3 linked regions of the Arabidopsis thaliana genome follow. The protein of the gene in region 3 purifies or fractionates together with the protein of the main gene of each other region. This does not show direct contact. Each region holds a gene or a part of one and is shown on either strand. Other genes may lie near its edges.

Region 1 (4,901 bases), on a different chromosome or scaffold from region 3:
TTCCAGCAGCAGGTCCAGCACCATCACCAGCAGTTCAACCGCCTAGCCCAGCGGCTTTAGCTGATGATCCAGGAGCTATGCTTGCTGGCTTACTTTAAATTCATTGGGATAAAAGATTACTTGCACATGTCGAAAAGTTTGTTTTCTGTTATTGTAGAATGTAATGGCGAAAATATGGAATGATGGGAGAGTAAATGTAGAGCCAAGGGAGAGAAAAAAGCTAGTTTTGATTATATTTGTGCCGTTTATCCAAAGCGGGCGGGTTGCGTTAGGTAAGAAATTTTGCATTCATTCTGAACATTTGTATTGTGAGGTCAGTGGTTGTATCAGCTTGTTCTTGTGCCTATATATTTTCAATCTGTTTCTCCATGAGTTTTCTGATGGGAGGTCTGTTTTTTCGCACCAGCCTTCACATTGAGAGATTTTAATGTTGTCATAAAGGGGGGAAATTGCAAAAACACATCCAACGCATAGCATTTCACCTGTAAAAACCTGATCTAATTTGAGGTGTGAATAGAGTGGGGACTTGGCCTTGGTGGGACATTCAACCGACATATATACAACCAGATTTTTACTATTACTTTGAAGAATATAATTGAAAGAAAATTTTTTTTTTACTATTTTTAATTTTCTTACAAACTGCTTATGGATTTAAAAGCTGTTTTATCAATTTTTGCATGATTTTTTTTTGTTTTTACTACATAATTTGTAATTGACAAAAGTATGATTTTTTTATATTACTATATCATTTGTAATTTTGCAAATAAAAAAAAATATAAGAACCCTAGATCCGGGGCTTGTGAAACAAGAGTGATTAAGCAAAATTTGAGTAAGTCTGACTTTTGCAAGTTTGCTTCACCAACATCAATGTCGCTCAAGTTGAAGAAGCAACTTCTCTTAAAGTATCGAATACCCTAAAATTTGTCATGCCTTGAAGAAAAACTCAACCGAGATATTGGAGCTGTTCGAAATACCTAAGAAATCAGCCGATGTTGCTAACGCAAAGGGACAATATCTTCCATAAAACTAAAAATGTTCAATAAGCAGGGCCGACCCAAATCTAAAGCCCAGCAAGCTGATGCTTTATCATCACAATCATATAAAAGCCTTGTAGTTTAATGGTTGGTGCTTCCATTAGTTATATAAGTTTACGAGTTCGATACTCAAACTGCCAAACAACAACATCCTAGGAGCATACGCTATCGCCGTCACTGCTTTTCTAGCTCAACAATTCGTCCTATTCATCGTCTTGTAGATTATGATCTTGTTATGAGACACATTTAGTATTTCAAAAACGAGAGTAGTGACAATACTTTCCTATTCACCAGAGTAATTTGGTTGCAATGATTCTAGCAAAATTGTTATCTGAAATATAGAGTATCTAAAATCTTTATTCAAAAGATTTCATAATACATTGAGTAAAATTATAAAATGCTCATAACAAAAAATAATCAAATCAGCACTGCGTATAAACCATTTGTTTCGTTCCCACTAATACCAACAAATACCATGTCTGACGAAAAAAAAAAAAAAAAAGTTGGGACCAGCTAAACCATTGCATGACCTGACCTGACCCGAATTCATAACCGGATTTTCTCATGGTACATTTTTTTTGTTAAGGATTTTCTCATGGTACATTGAATTACAACTGAATGCATTGACCGCGACAGAAAACAGTCATTTTAAAAATAAATGAAAAAGTGAAACCAGAAACAGCAGTAAATAAATATTACCCAAAAAGGCAGAAGGATACACTTTTTAACAAAATATTACGCAAACTTATAAATCCTCAAATTTAGTCCAAATGTCTAGACGCGTTAATTCTGTTTTTCGACGGGTCAATTTCGGATTCCAATTTCAAAACAGACAAAAACTGAATTACACAAAATTGAATAGTCAAAGTTGTAAATAAAGAAAAATAAAAGTCGTCTCTCGTCTCTCTCCCGCAGGCGTGTCTCTCTTCTCCAAAGATCAGTCTCTCCTTTTGAATTTCTTCGATTGAAGGTGCCATTTTCCGTTTCTAGATTGGGATTTCGATCTCACCTCTCTCGAATTGCTTATGCTTCAGCTTTAGTCTGTGGTTTATCTCGTAGTTAGATCCGGTGCCGCGAGTTTGGATCTGCGCCGTGTGAGGCGGCGGAGCACGGTGGATTTGAGGATTTGGTTCAACCATGACCGGAATGAGAGGTCTCTCCGTATTTATCAGCGACGTTCGTAATTGCCAGAACAAGGAAGCGGAGAGACTACGAGTTGATAAGGAGCTCGGAAACATTCGTACATGCTTCAAGAATGAGAAGGTTACTCTCAATTCTCTCCATTCTATTTTCTATGTTTTGATTCTCATTAGAGAGGTAATTCAGTGTCGAGTATCCGCTGAGGTTTTGGTTTATTAGAGATATTGGAGATTTATCCTTCGCAGTTGCAATGCCAATGCAATCGAATGTTAGAGCTATTAGGTTGATTAGGGAGTTAGATAAGAATGTAGATGAAACAAAGATACAGTCACTGGTCACATGCCGAGTGGATAGTTTTGGAGCTTGTAGTTTCTTACTTTATCGGATTGAGGCAATAAATTTTGATTTAACACCAATTGTGAAAATAGATAGGCAGTATAATGTTGCCGTTGTATAGCTAGCTCAAATCCTTGTAGATTAGCAATTATTCTACCTTTTGAAACATCACTACTATTGCTTTCAACTTGGAATTTCATTACTGAATATATGATGACATTTAGGAACTAGAAGAAAAGAATGGTCTGGCAGTAAATTCGGTTATGTAGTGATGGTCTAAGAAATTAAATCATGGTCACGGAAAATTTTGAATAGCTCATTACGAAGTAGATTAAGCTTTGTTGCTGTAAGAACTTCTGGAGTGAAATTCTTGTTCCATCTTACACGTAGCAGAGCTGTAGCAGGCCTGTAGTGGATCCATGTGTTTCCAGTTGGACCAACATTAAACTTATTCTTTTTCGGGGTTCATGTTAGAAATGAATTAATCAAGAACTCTTTGATTACTTGACATTCTGTTTTATTTTTGCAGGTTTTGACACCATATAAAAAGAAGAAATATGTCTGGAAAATGCTTTATATACATATGCTAGGCTACGATGTGGATTTTGGCCATATGGAGGCGGTTTCTCTTATATCTGCGCCAAAGTATCCAGAAAAGCAGGTAAACCAACGTTTTGTTTGCTCAAACAAAGAAATTTTTCTTTGTAAGGCTAGGAGAAGATAATAGATGGAGGTGTTTGCTGAAATATATTCTATTGATCAAGCTGAAACAAAGAAAGTTTCATTGAAGATCACACAGTTAGATCTAGATACCATTTCATGCGTTTGCAACTTGACTTGACCTGGGAAAGTATTGCAGACAATTACTTATAAGCACGAGTTACTTAGTAACATCTTAGAAACTCTTAACCAGAACCATGCATTGTATCTCAAGGGTTTGTATTTCCAATTTATATTGTTTCATGCTCCTTAACTAATTTGCAGGTATTGAACTTTTCATCCATGATTACAGGTTGGCTACATTGTTACATCTTGCTTGCTCAATGAGAACCATGACTTTTTGAAGTTGGCAATAAATACAGTGCGGAACGATATTATTGGTCGGAATGAGACTTTCCAGTGCCTAGCACTGACCTTGGTATGTGGTCTTTTGTCCACCCTGTATTGAGATTTTAGAGCATAGTTAGGTTCTTCTGATTATAAGATGTTGTTAAATGACTGTTTTAATGGAAGTCTTTGGTACATTATGTCTTTTGTGCTCTATCATTTCACGATTCAGAGCCACTTACTTCATGAAACTGGTCCTTTCTTTCTAGCTTTCTTACCTTGCCATGCTTACGTTCTCCTGTAGGTTGGAAATATCGGTGGAAGGGATTTTGCTGAATCATTGGCACCTGATGTTCAAAAGCTACTTGTAAGTGACTCCTAAAGATGAGAGGTTATATTTTTTTCCAATATTACTAAACATATTATGTTATGGGGTCTCTTTGCTGCAGATTTCTAGTAGTTGCAGACCTCTTGTAAGGAAAAAAGCAGCACTGTGCCTACTGCGCTTATTCCGAAAAAATCCTGATGCTGTCAACGTGGATGGCTGGTGTGTATAACACTGTGGGGTTACTGGTTCTTTGATTTTACTAGTGCATCTTTCATATTCTCTTTGTCGTATACTTCCAGGGCGGATCGTATGGCACAACTTTTGGATGAACGAGATCTTGGTGTCTTGACGTCTTCTACGAGTCTTCTTGTAGCTCTGGTATCTAATAATCATGAGGCGTACTCAAGTTGTCTACCTAAATGTGTCAAAATATTAGAACGCCTTGCTAGGAACCAAGATGTTCCTCAGGAGTACACATACTATGGCATCCCATCTCCTTGGCTCCAGGTTTGACTTAACTCGGCTTATTCACTCTTGTTTAATAGCTTAAATATTCTTTAATCGCATCCTTTTCACAAATCCTGTGCATTTTAAACATTTTATGTGAAATTAGCTTATGAAAATAGAGGCTTGGCCCAGCTTTGGTGTATTTTTGTTACTCAGTTAAAGATATCGTGGATACTTATATATCTTTGGTTAGTACAGGTTAAGGCAATGAGGGCTCTTCAATATTTCCCGACCATTGAAGATCCCAGTACCAGAAAAGCTCTGTTTGAGGTTCAATATTTTCATGTGTAAATCTGTAATATATGTCTTTGAATTTCCTCTCATGGCATGGCATTTCATGGAAATTTCAGGTCCTTCAGCGAATATTGATGGGGACAGATGTTGTGAAAAATGTGAATAAAAACAATGCGTCTCATGCTGTGCTGTTTGAAGCTCTATCCCTGGTAAGTTCGTCGGATAGCTGGGGAAATGTTGATACCATGAATTTTACTAGTGGGCACCTATTTTTC
Region 2 (5,153 bases), on a different chromosome or scaffold from region 3:
TAACCAATATCATCAGTCAAAAAGGAAAACTGACCTGAACACCACCGTCTAAAGCAGCACAAGGCTGAAGAATAGGACCAGGATTCGACCGTTCAACAGCAACTTGAACCGGTACACCAAAACCTTTCCTTGGTCCAGTTTCACGAAATCTCGTCTGATTCTCTTCCCGACGTTTATCTCCATCACCAGAAACAGTTCCAGTGTTGTTATCTCCACCATCACCATCTTCATCTCTCACAGCTCCATGACCACCACCACCATCGTTATGACCAAAACCAAGTATACCCGTTAACTTCTTCAAAAAACCCATTAACCCCAGATATCAAATTCGATCTAAAGCCCTCAAATTTAACAGCTTTTCTCTCAAATGAATGATCTTCCAAAATTAGGGTTTTCGAATATCCCTTTCCTCTCCCGATTTTTGCTACTTTCTCCGATCGCTTCTTAATCCAACAATATTCATTTCCTACTGTTAAAACCCAGAAATCTCTGTCTTTAATCTCTCTCTCTCGTGAACACTGTGTTAATCTTCTTATGCACTGCAACAAATTATAGAAAGATGAATTTTTTTTTGGATCAAAGACGGATCGAGCAAGATCTTCTTTTTATCATTAACGGCGCGGTTTCTATTAATATACTAAATAAATATTCCACATTTTTTTTTTCTCTCGTGAGTGAACAAAAAAAAAAATTGCGATCATTTACAGTTTTACTTTTACACATCACTGACATCAGAGAGAATTGAACAAAAAAAATTCGAAAAGTTTCGTGTTAATCATATATATGAAAGTTGGCTAACTCTCTCCAAATGATTGACACATCATCATTTTAGCATTTGCCATGTGTCTATTAAGTAATTAATGTAAGCTCTTCAACTTCTAATTTATAAGTTAATGATATATTTATTATTTAATTTTACATATTTAATTATAGTATTACTAAATTTATTTTAATATTACATGATTTTTCAATAAAACCATTTAATAGTTTTCTCATACTCGAAGATTTTTTTTTGTAATCCAAACTCAAAGTATGAGTATATAATAGTCGTGGATTATTTAATGATTTGAGTAAGTTATTTTCTTAAATTGATATTATATTCTCTTAAATTTATATTTATACAATAAATCATTGAGGTTGAAGAATACGTAAGGAGCTCCATCATCAAATTCTTAGGTTTCTAGAATCCAAAACTACCCTCTCTTAAGTTGGTTTAATACAAACGTTATTTATGAATTATGTGTATGATGCATTGTTGAGAATGTTGTTAGAAAAAATATTTTTAAAATTAAAAGGAATTGTTTATTGTATAAGTGAATAATTAGATAAATAAAAATTATATTTAAATTAAACAATACGAAAAAAATCCGAAAATACCGCGGCGTAGCGCAGGTGATCACCTAGTGTTAATAATTGAAAATTAAGAACTTCTATACATTGTTTGTTACCTAACCATTCTTCATATGTAAACAACAATTAAAAATGATGAAGGATATAATGTACTACAGGCCCATAATTGAGACGCACAGGCCCAGAATCGAATAAGACCGGCCCATTCCAAAATGACGACTGAATTCAATTTTGTTTCTATTTTTTGATAAAAAAGAAATTAAAAAAATATCGCATTTCAGTTGTTCAACTTCTTCGTCGTCGTCTTCTTCCTTTGCTCCGTCGTCGAGATCTCGTCGAACCTCAAATCTCAAATCTCCTGTAACCAGATCGTCTAATTATCCGATCTGCGTTTCGAATCTCAGATCGAAGATGCCGGTGGCTGCTTCCGCCATCTATTTTCTGAATCTCCGTGGCGATGTACTCATAAATCGCACCTACCGAGATGACGTCGGGTAAGAGAGCTTCTCCTTTTCTTCACCGTCGATCTCTTTAATTTTTTGAATTCGGCTTCATTTTCAGCTCCATGTTTTGTTCTTATCGCTTCTAAGTAGTCGTACTTTGTAGGATTTTAGCTGTGAGATTTGAGATTTTAAAATTTTGATTTGATTTTGATACTTAGGGGAAACATGGTGGATGCATTTCGTACGCATATAATGCAGACGAAAGAGTTAGGGAATTGTCCTGTGCGTCAGATTGGTGGCTGCTCCTTTGTTTATATGCGAATCAGCAATGTCTACATCGTCATTGTTGTCAGTAGCAATGCTAATGTTGCTTGTGGATTCAAATTTGTTGTTGAGGTAAACTTGTTTTTGTGTTTCATTTTAATATTCCACAATTGTTTTGATTCTTGTTCAAATTTCAAGAGAGTCAGATTGATTCTATACACATACTGCTTTTGATTCACATTTTCAGGCTGTAGCTTTGTTCAAATCATACTTTGGTGGAGCTTTTGATGAAGACGCTATTAGAAATAACTTTGTTCTGATTTATGAATTGTTGGATGGTAAGTAAGCCTGATAGGGTCATGATCAAATCACTTTCTTATCACTTGTAAAGTTGCATTAGTCGTTATATGTTATTCTATTTTGTGGTAACACCAATGAATGATATTTTGTATTGAATTGCAGAGATTATGGACTTTGGCTATCCACAAAATCTCTCACCTGAAATTTTAAAACTTTATATCACTCAGGAAGGTGTACGGTCACCATTTTCATCGAAGGTAAAGGCATCTATTTGTTTGTGTATACAACAGATTTTGTAATTGTGTTGGTGTGTGGTTCTTCGAAGTTAAGCAGTATTTCCCGCAATAAATAGAGATTATGTTGCTTCTTCACTAGATATGTTTGCATTCATAAGCTTCTTTTCATTACAGCCAAAAGACAAACCTGTTCCAAATGCAACATTACAAGTTACAGGTGCTGTTGGTTGGAGAAGAGAGGGCCTTGCTTACAAAAAGAATGAGGTGAGTGTTGAGTTTCTTTCTGTGTGTATGTAGATCGGCTAGGTTGTGCGGTAGTGATGATATTTTGCATTCTCTCAAACGCAGGTGTTTCTGGATATTGTGGAAAGTGTAAACCTTCTGATGTCCTCTAAAGGTAAATAATTGCCTTTTATGAAGTTTTTTGAAGTTGTCTTTCTTGTTGATTTGCTGTGTATGACTGGTTTTGCATTTTATGGAAACGGTTAGGCAATGTTCTTCGGTGTGATGTGACGGGGAAGGTTTTAATGAAATGTTTCCTTTCGGGAATGCCTGATTTGAAGTTGGGGTTGAATGATAAAATTGGTCTTGAGAAGGAATCAGAAATGAAATCTCGCCCAGCTAAGAGGTATACGTTGTTAATACATTGAACATCAGTAGCCACTGACTTTTCTTTGTGCTAACTGACTCTCGTTTTGTGCAGTGGTAAAACCATTGAGCTTGATGATGTCACATTTCACCAGTGTGTGAACCTGACCAGATTCAACTCCGAGAAGACTGTTAGTTTTGTACCACCGGATGGAGAGTTTGAACTGATGAAGTAAGTTTTCGAATGTCCACTGTTGCAAATTGTTCTGGTACCAAATGTGTATTAACTTTATGATGTCTCAGGTATCGAATAACAGAGGGTGTAAATCTGCCTTTCCGTGTATTACCAACAATCAAAGAACTTGGTCGTACACGTATGGAAGTAAATGTCAAGGTACATAACTTTTCTCAAGGATTACAGGATACAAAAAAATTGGCTTGATCTTTGCTCTCTTACAATCCCTTCCCGTGTTTTGTCTGTTCAGGTCAAAAGTGTGTTTGGTGCTAAAATGTTTGCCCTTGGGGTCGTGGTTAAAATTCCAGTGCCAAAACAAACAGCCAAGACCAATTTCCAAGTGACAACTGGTCGCGCTAAATACAATCCATCAATCGATTGCTTGGTTTGGAAGTGAGTTTATATAATTTCCCCTCATATTCATCTCTATAATTCTTTTGTTGGTGTTTTATCAATCATTCGGCATCTTTCTCTCTTTTACTCTTTAGGATAAGAAAATTCCCAGGGCAAACAGAGTCCACGCTAAGTGCAGAAATTGAGTTGATCTCAACAATGGGAGAGAAGAAATCTTGGACAAGGCCACCGATCCAAATGGAATTTCAGGTCAGTCTTTGTCTCTTTTAGGCACTGTTAAATAGAACCAGATTTGCTTAAAGCAATTATTAACCGTCTCAGCTTTGTTCTTTTCTAGGTGCCAATGTTCACAGCATCTGGTCTGCGAGTTCGTTTTCTCAAGGTACGCATTGTTATCTATGCTTTTGAAAGTACCATCCTTCCAAAAAATGCAATGCTAAGTAGCAGAATCTCTAAGCCATTGTGTCATTAAATCCGTTCAAATCTTTTATGTGATTTGCGTTTTGGTTAATCTGTCTCTGGTCTTTCAAAAATTGATTGCTATACTACTTTTTTGGACCTGACTATCCGGAACGATTGGCAGGTTTGGGAGAAGAGCGGTTACAACACGGTCGAGTGGGTTCGATACATAACGAAAGCGGGATCTTACGAGATCAGATGCTGAACATTAAACACAGTTCAGGTTCAGTGACATCAGACTTAAAAGTTTCATGGCTTCTAGTTTTTTGTTCCTTATGCAAAACAAAAACAAAAGAGTTAAATATGTTTTATACCTTGTTTTATGTTTGTTTTGTCGATTAGAGATATCTGTGTTAATATGATTTCTTATGTCTTAATTTGGTATTGAATTCTGTTTTTCTTTCTTTCTCTGTTTGTGAAATTGTACGAGATATAGTTTAGATTAATTCTGGTGTAATCGAACGTGATAGAGTATTTGTGAAAGCAGTCGGATTCTTTTTAGTAGTAGAATCGGGTGTAATATGTTAATGAAAACAAATTTTACTTGAGAATAGTTCGAACTTCGAAGGTTTTTACACATAACATAGATCGTTAAAATCTTTTGTAAGTCTACTAATTCTTCAGAAACAAACGGGAAATTGTAAAAGTAATAGACTATCAAAGCTACACCCAAGTACGTCTTTCACTCGTGGTTGGTTATGCATGATCGAATTTCTATAACTTCGCTTATGGCAAATGTGGTCATGGTGGTTCTTTGGACTGTGTCATGTGGCTCTCTGCCCACAAGACACCAGATATCATGGATACTTTGCTACTCACATGCAACTCAAATATGGTCTAAGACAACAAACATGATTCTATTGAACTGCTTCTCCATCGATTGGGATCACCTCGTCGGTATTCTGAAATCCACAAGCTGGGTGT
Region 3 (7,578 bases):
AAAGTATTTTCAAGCTTGGACCTTTGTTGTACTTACGGTCTCAACTAAAATGTATAGTTTTGATCAAATTAAAATACAATGGTGAGCTTTCATAAACCAATAATGTCGAAACTTTGGTATTTCATTTTAAGTTACAAAAATATTAGTTGATTGATAGTATAATCCCTTTTATGTGATGGCGTGTAGCGCCCTTACTCAACCCTTATATTCGGTGGCATTACTTCAATCTCACGTTACTATTAGTCCCCCTCAAGCTTTAAAATTTTCAATTAGTTTTGGTTTTGAATTGATTTAATAATCAATCGATAATTAAAAGAAGATTAGTTTCGACGAAGCTATTTTGTAACCGCATGTTACAGGAAATCATGATTGATATTGATATTAGGAAATTGCTACGTCGCATTACGGGCCCAGTATCTATCTATCTACGCCTATCTGTTGTGAAGAAGGTACCAAATTCTCAACTGGTTTACGTGTACGAATCTCTTCGCTCCACTTAGGAAACTTTTTGATTTCATGTCGGTCACTGAACACTAAAAATAGCATTTGCTGATAATAAGTCATTATCACACTAGTTTAATCAAAAACCTTTTGGGGCATATACGCAACGACAACATCAAAAATCAAAGCTCTTACGAGAATAAAAAAACGAGTGGGTTCCAACACAAAAATTAGAAACAAGAAGTCGGCAACAATTCACTTACTACATACACTAAAAGAAGAAATTTGCTTACCTTAGGGCAGTGTAAAATCAAATCAAGCCTTGAAGAGAATTTCGACTGCTTCAAAGAAGAGAGGAGCGATCTCAGGGGTTGGAGTCTTGACTGCACATTTCAGACCAGGTTGACCCACTATGGCCGTTAGTTCGATCAGGAACGGTATGCCTCTTGGTACCTTGGCCGAAAGATAGAGGACGTCTTGGTTCCCATTCTTACGCTTTGCTATGAAGAACATGTTTGATGCGGCGAGTAAATCAAGTGTTGACTCCACGCTCGTGATGGTTATCCCGGGGAATTCTTTCTGCACCTCGTTTGAATCCGGTAACGATTTCCATGTCTAATCAAAAAAACAAATGTTTTATAACTCAGAAGAACTGGTTTTTAAGACTGTGGTATATAGTTATGATCAGAAATCAATATCTTCCTTCAGTTCTTACTGAGTCTAGAAACTTAAATCGATGAAAACCATATCATATGTTAAGATCTACAGCACCCTAACTCCCCCAGGCTTCTTAAGGCACAAAATCTGTCACTAATTACTCGCCCATCTTAATATCATAAGCCCTCTCCACTATTAGTCAATGACTAACATGGTGCTGTATTGTTAATGAACTCTTTATCATATATTAGTCTTTTACCTCGAGGAAGGTTCCGCGCTCCATCCGACCATCTTCTGAGAAAAGAGCGTTAAGTACAATCTTATCCTCGAAGTACCAGACAGGCTGCTGGTTGTTTTTGACGGCAACTTGCAATACCGAGCTGGTGGAGCCAGTAGACATGTTTTGGGACAATACCATTGGCATCATTGTCCTGGCAGATGCTCCGGGTTGCAGAGGCGGAACCTATAATAGTACAAAACCTGGACATCAGTTTCAGGAATCCAGGATATATAATAGGCGTAGATGTAGAGCATATCCAACTACTATTACCTGAAGTGATCCGACAGCTGCAAGGCCGAATGAGTTTTTGTTGAACTGAATCATGAAGCCATCAAGAAGTGACTGCGAGTTGTTCTCGAGGAGCATACTGTAGAATACTTGACCATCTTGTCGGGTTAATTGAGCGCTAATCTGCAGACCTTGACCCTTTGATGCTGGTAGGACAACAGGCAGTGGACGACTGCAAACAATATTAGGTGATTCAATGAGTTTTATAAACAACAAGGTGATCCAAATAGATATGATTGAATAAAACCAGTCCATCGCACACCCCAACTGTGAGAGAGACTTTTAATGTAATTTTCACCATTCAAAACTCACCCTGACGGAGTTGTGGGTTCATCTACAGGGACGATTGCAGCATTATCTGACCCCATTAGGTCACCTAGCAGATCGGGTACAGGAGCTGGGGCAGCAGCTAGCTTTGTGACATAGCCTGTGGTAGCTGACGGGGAAGCTGCACCATCAACCGGATTACCAGATGCCTCGGGATATCCTGTTTCGCTCCCTTCTACATAATCCTCATCCTCCGTTTTCTGAACTGTGGTTTTCAAGCGGGTTACAAAAGCCTCTGGCGGCTTGTGATACACAGAGGACAAGGTGGATATATTTGCAAGTAGCTCATCCAGGAGCGACGGATCAAGTTGGTTTGAGTCATCAGTAATCACAGGCTTTTCAGCTAAAACAACATCCTTGGCCGCCTATAGTCAAAAGAAGAGCACTGATGACTGTAGGTAAAAGAGATGATTGTTGCTCATCCTCCAATGTCCTTGAACTAGTTTAGTAGAATATATTAAGAAAACATACCTCAGGATCAGTCGATAGAAGACGCCAGTAGATGTATGCACGATCCCTGAGATCAGGATTATCTGTTTCAACAGTAGCATTATTCAAGACAACCTGAAAAATTGAAACATGGCAAAAGCCAGGCCTGTCGTCAAATACATGCGCTTTAATCGATTAGGAGAGCAAAAGGTAGTCTTCATAATGGTCATGGCAGAACCTGAATCATTTGTTGTGGGCCTTCAGTTGGCTTCTTCAGAAATAGTTTGACTGTAGCTGTAAGAAGCTGCAGTTGGACTTGTGCTGGTTCCTCAGGGAAATTCTCCAGGAAGCTTTCAAGAAGTTCATCCGCATTGTCGATTCTTTCAGCATATTCACCAATGATCCAAATCATAGATGCCTTTCAAGATGCCAACAAATACAAGTATGAGTTTCACCGATTATATTTGCGATGGAGAAGCTTCCAGCTAATATACACTACCCAAACGACAAATTTTGTTACCTTAGCTTCTGGTTCATCCAATGTGTCTAGACTCTCACAGAGTGTTGCGATTATGGACTCATACCTGCACATTATTTTAAAAGACATAGCCAAGATTAAAAAGAATTACAGCACTTCAGGAGGCCAAAATCAACTTACGTATTTGGATATCTTCTAAAGATATCTTTGATGACTATAATGGCCTCCTGCACAACGTAGTTTACTTTGATCTTGATCAGCTCAAGTAAAACACTGATGCACCGTTCAGCTGCTCTTTCTAGTTTGATGGCACATCGGCCTATAGCACGAACAGCCTTCCGAACAAAATCAACATCTACTTCCGTGGCATATTCTTTGAACTCCAGAAGAACCTACATTGGAATGGTCTAGAAACCATCATGATGTGCACCAAAACAAAATAACTTGGACAAACGGCAGATGATAAAAGTGTAGTAAGGATTACCTGGTCTATGTTTCTGTCAGAAGCAAGTTTTATCATAATCTCTAACTTCTCCATCTTAACATATATCGGATCATTATACTTGCAGAAGAACACCTGCAATAAAACCATGAAGCATTATCAACAAATATAAGAATATATCAATTGCTTATTTCGGAGAGTCTACGAGACAGGATCAAGCTACCTTGATTTCATGGGCAAGAATAGTGGGTCTCTTTTGGACAATAAGGTTAATGTTACGAAGTGCAACATACTGTATCTCAGGTTCTGCAGAAAGCAATGTAACTAGGGGAGGAGCCATCTTCTTGCAAAGATTTCGAATCACATCTGTGCTAGTAATAAGCTCCATCTGCTGAAGGATCATCTGGAAAGCAATGAAATAAAGAGGACTGGCATTAGAAAATTATGTAAGGGAATATAGTTGACACTTCATAAACAATTTTGACTGGCGAACAGGTGACATTCCAGAGAGAAGTATATATTTTGAAAGTGTCACCTTAACAGCTGAAAGCACAACAGCACAGTTGGCATGTTGCAACCTTGGAGTGACTCTCTCAACAATATTTTCAGCTTCACGAGGATCAGATGCCTTATACCTCGACAAAGCATCTAATATAAAAACTTGACCCCATCTGTGAAGAACACAAACAGTATTAAAAATTGAAAGCTATAAATATGTATACAGCAAAAGGAAACAATAGTCGCTTTATGGATCCCTTTCCCCAATGTTCAAAACCATGAGTCCTTTATCTACACAGAAAACCTTCAACTTCAATAACAACAAAGTTCTGTCACAATTTTAGGTTAGATACAGAACAAAATGCATAGATAAACTGATGCTTTAACACAAGAAGCAAGTCCGCAACTCAACAGATTATCCTACTGTGAATATTTAGGCCAGCCTGTCTGTTCTCCGAAAACAAAACCTAATATGATCTGACTAAAATTAGTCAATCATACACAATCTGAGTGAAAGTAAGAGATGGAAATCAGGAACGACTTACTCAGTACATTCATTCAAAGCTGTAAGGAGCTTTGTGAGGATGGTACTATTGATTTCAAATATGGGACTAGTACTATTCTCTTGGATCTCTGCAAGGGCAGCTACAGCATTTGCCACAACCATTGGATTATTGTCTGATATTAAATCCTTTAAGGCTTCCAGGAACCCCCTATCCTCAACTAATTCAGCATTTATGTCAAACAGTTTAGCAACACAAATAGCTGCTGTCTTGCGGACATATGGATCATCATCCTGAAAAATAAAAAAATTGCAACATGCCAGAAAATACAGAAATATGTCATCAGTCAAAGAATAAAAAAATTCTTGAGGGACATAAATATTTGCTACAAGGTGCAGTGACAAGGTAGCATTAAAAACTCAACCTTTAGGCATTTCTGAAGAGGATCACACAAATATTCTGTAATCTTATCAACACGAATACAGCCCATCGTTCGCACAGCCAAAGCCCGGATCAATGGATTTGGGTCTTGTGAATCCTGCCAAATACAAAGCGAGAACTTAATAACGATGAGTTTCTTAAATAATTTTCCATCCACCAAAATCAGAGAAAGACCAAGAAACTTGCCATATGTTAGGTCTTTATGTTTGGGTAGGCTATATAAGCAAAGTAGCTGAAGTGTTACCTTAACAAAAGTATTTACAGCGAGGATAGCAAGATCTGGCTGGCTTTTTGCATAGTTTATCAGATACAAGTAAACAAGCTTCTTCAACTCCAGATTCTCAGTTTGCATGCAATTGACTACATCAGTGAAAAGTGATGAAACATCCTTTCCAACAGTCATTGCCGCAATAACCTTCTTAACAGCATCTTTCCTCTTATCCTAGGAACATAAAGAAAAAAAGAGAATTTAGGAAACTGAAGCAAAAACGCATTCCATCATCTTCAATCAGTACCATATACAACCATTGGACCATCTACTCAAAGAAGAACTGTTTCTATCGCCCAACCACTGCATTGATCCATATTCAAAACTTATGATCCCCCAATCTAAACACATCCCCGCATTAACCATTATTCTGAATTTCATTCCATTTCTACATAGTTTCAAATGAACCATTGAACACATAACATTATAACGTACACCATCATCAATCTTTCAAACTAAAATATCAACAAAATTAACCGATCAATTCGAATCCATAATCATACAGATCTACCAGAAAATGATTATGCATAATTCAACGAACGAGAAAGAGATGAGATTAGAATCGTGAAAATGGCGGATCACAGATCCATATATGAAATTAGACGGAGAAGAAGAACCTTGTACTGTGAATTCAGCTCTTCCTTGAGCTCAGGGATCTCTCCCTTCTTCGTAGTCGAAAAATATTTAGAATCATGACCGCTCATTTTCTCCCTTCTTCAACCTCCACACTTCTTCTCCTCCGAGACGATCAGTGACAAGAGACACAAAGACACGAAATTGCAAAAAGTAATAGGTCGGGGTTAAAATAAAACTAATTACAGTTTAACCCTAGTATTATTGATATTTGACGAAATTGCCTCGTGACTTCGTCTAGTCAACGCCAGTTGCCATCCAGGGGAGGGGAGAAGAAGAATTTGTATTCTCAAGTTGTCGATATGAGAGAGATGAAGTCAGAAACACGTTTGTGAGAGAACAGCTTTTAGATGTGATTGTGGATCAGATTCTCAAAGACTTTTCGCGAAGAGTCTCTGATCCTTAAATCGCTTCTCTCTCGCTTGACCTCATTTCGTCGTCGAAATCAGATCCTTGTGAAAATGCCGAAACAGGATATGGAGAAGATGGAGCTTCGTAAGAACTTCCGTAATGTTTGGCATACCGATCTTACCCACAGTATCCAGAACGATACTCCTTGTAATTTCTCACTCTCTCTTTTTGAAATTTGTGGGTTGGATTGGTTTTGGTTGTTGATTTGATCGATTTCTGTGTTGTTCGCAGATTGTTGCTTCGCGTTGTGGTGGTAAGTTTCGATTGATCTGAGATTTTTCGTTGCTTGTTCTCTCTGTATTTGGAATTTGGATATTTGTAGTAGTCGGATCTTGGTTTATTTGAATTGACCAAGAGTTGACTTCGATTTAAATTCTTAGATCGGCTTGATTTTCATTTCATCAAGAAATGTGTATGGAGTGATCTGAATTTCACAGATAATATGAGTTTCTCTGATCATTGTATGTGATAATTTCAGTGCATTAGGAGTTTGACATTGTATGATTTGTGTATCTCTTTGGGTCTGATATGTTTAGCATACATATGGAAATGTCTTGTTTCTTCTTCTTCTCATTGCAGTGCCCCTTGTGCATCATACTTGCTTCGCAAGCGTGCGCTTTACGATGATATGTCAAGGTATATCACACATTCAGTCACTTTCATATAGCTCCATTCCAATTCCATCTTCTTAGTTTAAGAAGATTGTTTTTTTTGTCTCGCAGGTACGTCTGCTGTGCCGGTTACATGCCTTGTAGTGGTAGGTGTGGAGAAGCCAAATGTCCTCAACTTTGTCTTGCCACTGAGGTAAGAAACTTGATTTTGTTAGCTATTATCTTCAAATGAAGTCTTTTTTTTTTTTGGACAACAAAAATGAAGTCTTTTCTATAGACACAGCTAGTCTAGAAATTTCGATTTCAGCATCTGAATGCTTCCTGTAGCATATGCATACAATCTCAGTCATACCTAGGTGTGACTTGTGAGGCAACCTCGCGAAATTTTAGCAAATTTCTGGTCTTCTAAATAGCAGATCAATCGCAGGTCTTCTGCTGCTTTGCAAACTCTGTGGCCTCAACTCGCTTTCTTCTGCAAGATGAGTTCCAAATTCAAACGACAAAATGTGACAACTGCATCATTGTAAGTATCCTCATTGCCCAGACCATGCCTGTTACTGACACTCACAAGCAATTACAAACACGATAAACAAGTTTCGTAATCTGTGCTGGCTTTTTGGCTGTGTAGGGTTTCATGGTTTGCCTCAGCCAAGTGGCTTGCATATTCTCCATAGTTGCATGTATTGTCGGTATGGATGAGCTTTCAGAAGCTTCTCAGATACTCACATGTTGCTCTGACATGGTGTACTGCACGTAAGAATCCCCCATCCAAAGTGCCATTCTTATAAGTTTCGATCAAAACCCAATTTTAACCTATTGTCCTGATATATCGTACTTTGCTTGGTCTGCAGGGTTTGCGCATGTATGCAGG

Evidence for each region. The genes of interacting proteins can lie anywhere in the genome.
Region 1: the proteins of AT4G23460 (region 3) and alpha-ADR purify together in Arabidopsis thaliana (affinity purification with mass spectrometry; 2 studies listed by BioGRID, with this or other methods). This does not show direct contact.
Region 2: the proteins of AT4G23460 (region 3) and AT5G46630 purify together in Arabidopsis thaliana (affinity purification with mass spectrometry; 2 studies listed by BioGRID, with this or other methods). This does not show direct contact.

What each region holds. Positions count from the first base shown.
Region 1 is NC_003076.8:7,585,297-7,590,197, reverse strand, and holds the start of alpha-ADR (alpha-adaptin), read left to right. Parts: upstream 1-1,875; 5' UTR 1,876-2,171; coding exon 2,172-2,297; intron 2,298-3,039; coding exon 3,040-3,171; intron 3,172-3,522; coding exon 3,523-3,648; intron 3,649-3,861; coding exon 3,862-3,924; intron 3,925-4,006; coding exon 4,007-4,104; intron 4,105-4,184; coding exon 4,185-4,392; intron 4,393-4,590; coding exon 4,591-4,662; intron 4,663-4,742; coding exon 4,743-4,835; intron 4,836-4,901. Other genes in the region: AT5G22780 (Adaptor protein complex AP-2, alpha subunit), read left to right, coding at 1-98; AT5G22785 (uncharacterized protein), read right to left, coding at 354-482, 493-555. UniProt on the Arabidopsis thaliana protein: Subunit of the adaptor protein complex 2 (AP-2). Adaptor protein complexes function in protein transport via transport vesicles in different membrane traffic pathways.
Region 2 is NC_003076.8:18,918,819-18,923,971, forward strand, and holds AT5G46630 (Clathrin adaptor complexes medium subunit family protein), read left to right. Parts: upstream 1-1,619; 5' UTR 1,620-1,761; coding exon 1,762-1,844; intron 1,845-2,011; coding exon 2,012-2,189; intron 2,190-2,304; coding exon 2,305-2,395; intron 2,396-2,519; coding exon 2,520-2,614; intron 2,615-2,767; coding exon 2,768-2,857; intron 2,858-2,941; coding exon 2,942-2,990; intron 2,991-3,082; coding exon 3,083-3,221; intron 3,222-3,296; coding exon 3,297-3,413; intron 3,414-3,484; coding exon 3,485-3,575; intron 3,576-3,666; coding exon 3,667-3,809; intron 3,810-3,904; coding exon 3,905-4,019; intron 4,020-4,107; coding exon 4,108-4,242; 3' UTR 4,243-4,353; coding exon of another isoform or gene 4,354-4,434; 3' UTR 4,435-4,627; downstream 4,628-5,153. Other genes in the region: AT5G46620 (uncharacterized protein), read right to left, coding at 35-310. UniProt on the Arabidopsis thaliana protein: Subunit of the adaptor protein complex 2 (AP-2). Adaptor protein complexes function in protein transport via transport vesicles in different membrane traffic pathways.
Region 3 is NC_003075.7:12,243,143-12,250,720, forward strand, and holds AT4G23460 (Adaptin family protein), read right to left. Parts: upstream 5,877-7,578; 5' UTR 5,757-5,876; coding exon 5,670-5,756; intron 5,227-5,669; coding exon 5,029-5,226; intron 4,994-5,028; exon of another isoform or gene 4,974-4,993; coding exon of another isoform or gene 4,971-4,973; intron 4,882-4,970; coding exon 4,768-4,881; intron 4,637-4,767; coding exon 4,386-4,636; intron 4,014-4,385; coding exon 3,878-4,013; intron 3,746-3,877; coding exon 3,566-3,745; intron 3,478-3,565; coding exon 3,385-3,477; intron 3,293-3,384; coding exon 3,081-3,292; intron 3,007-3,080; coding exon 2,943-3,006; intron 2,841-2,942; coding exon 2,661-2,840; intron 2,558-2,660; coding exon 2,465-2,557; intron 2,359-2,464; coding exon 1,979-2,358; intron 1,839-1,978; coding exon 1,649-1,838; intron 1,562-1,648; coding exon 1,358-1,561; intron 1,057-1,357; coding exon 757-1,056; 3' UTR 529-756; downstream 1-528. Other genes in the region: AT4G23470 (PLAC8 family protein), read left to right, coding at 6,147-6,243, 6,328-6,349, 6,676-6,732, 6,819-6,900, 7,135-7,230, 7,336-7,460, 7,559-7,577. UniProt on the Arabidopsis thaliana protein: Subunit of clathrin-associated adaptor protein complex that plays a role in protein sorting in the late-Golgi/trans-Golgi network (TGN) and/or endosomes.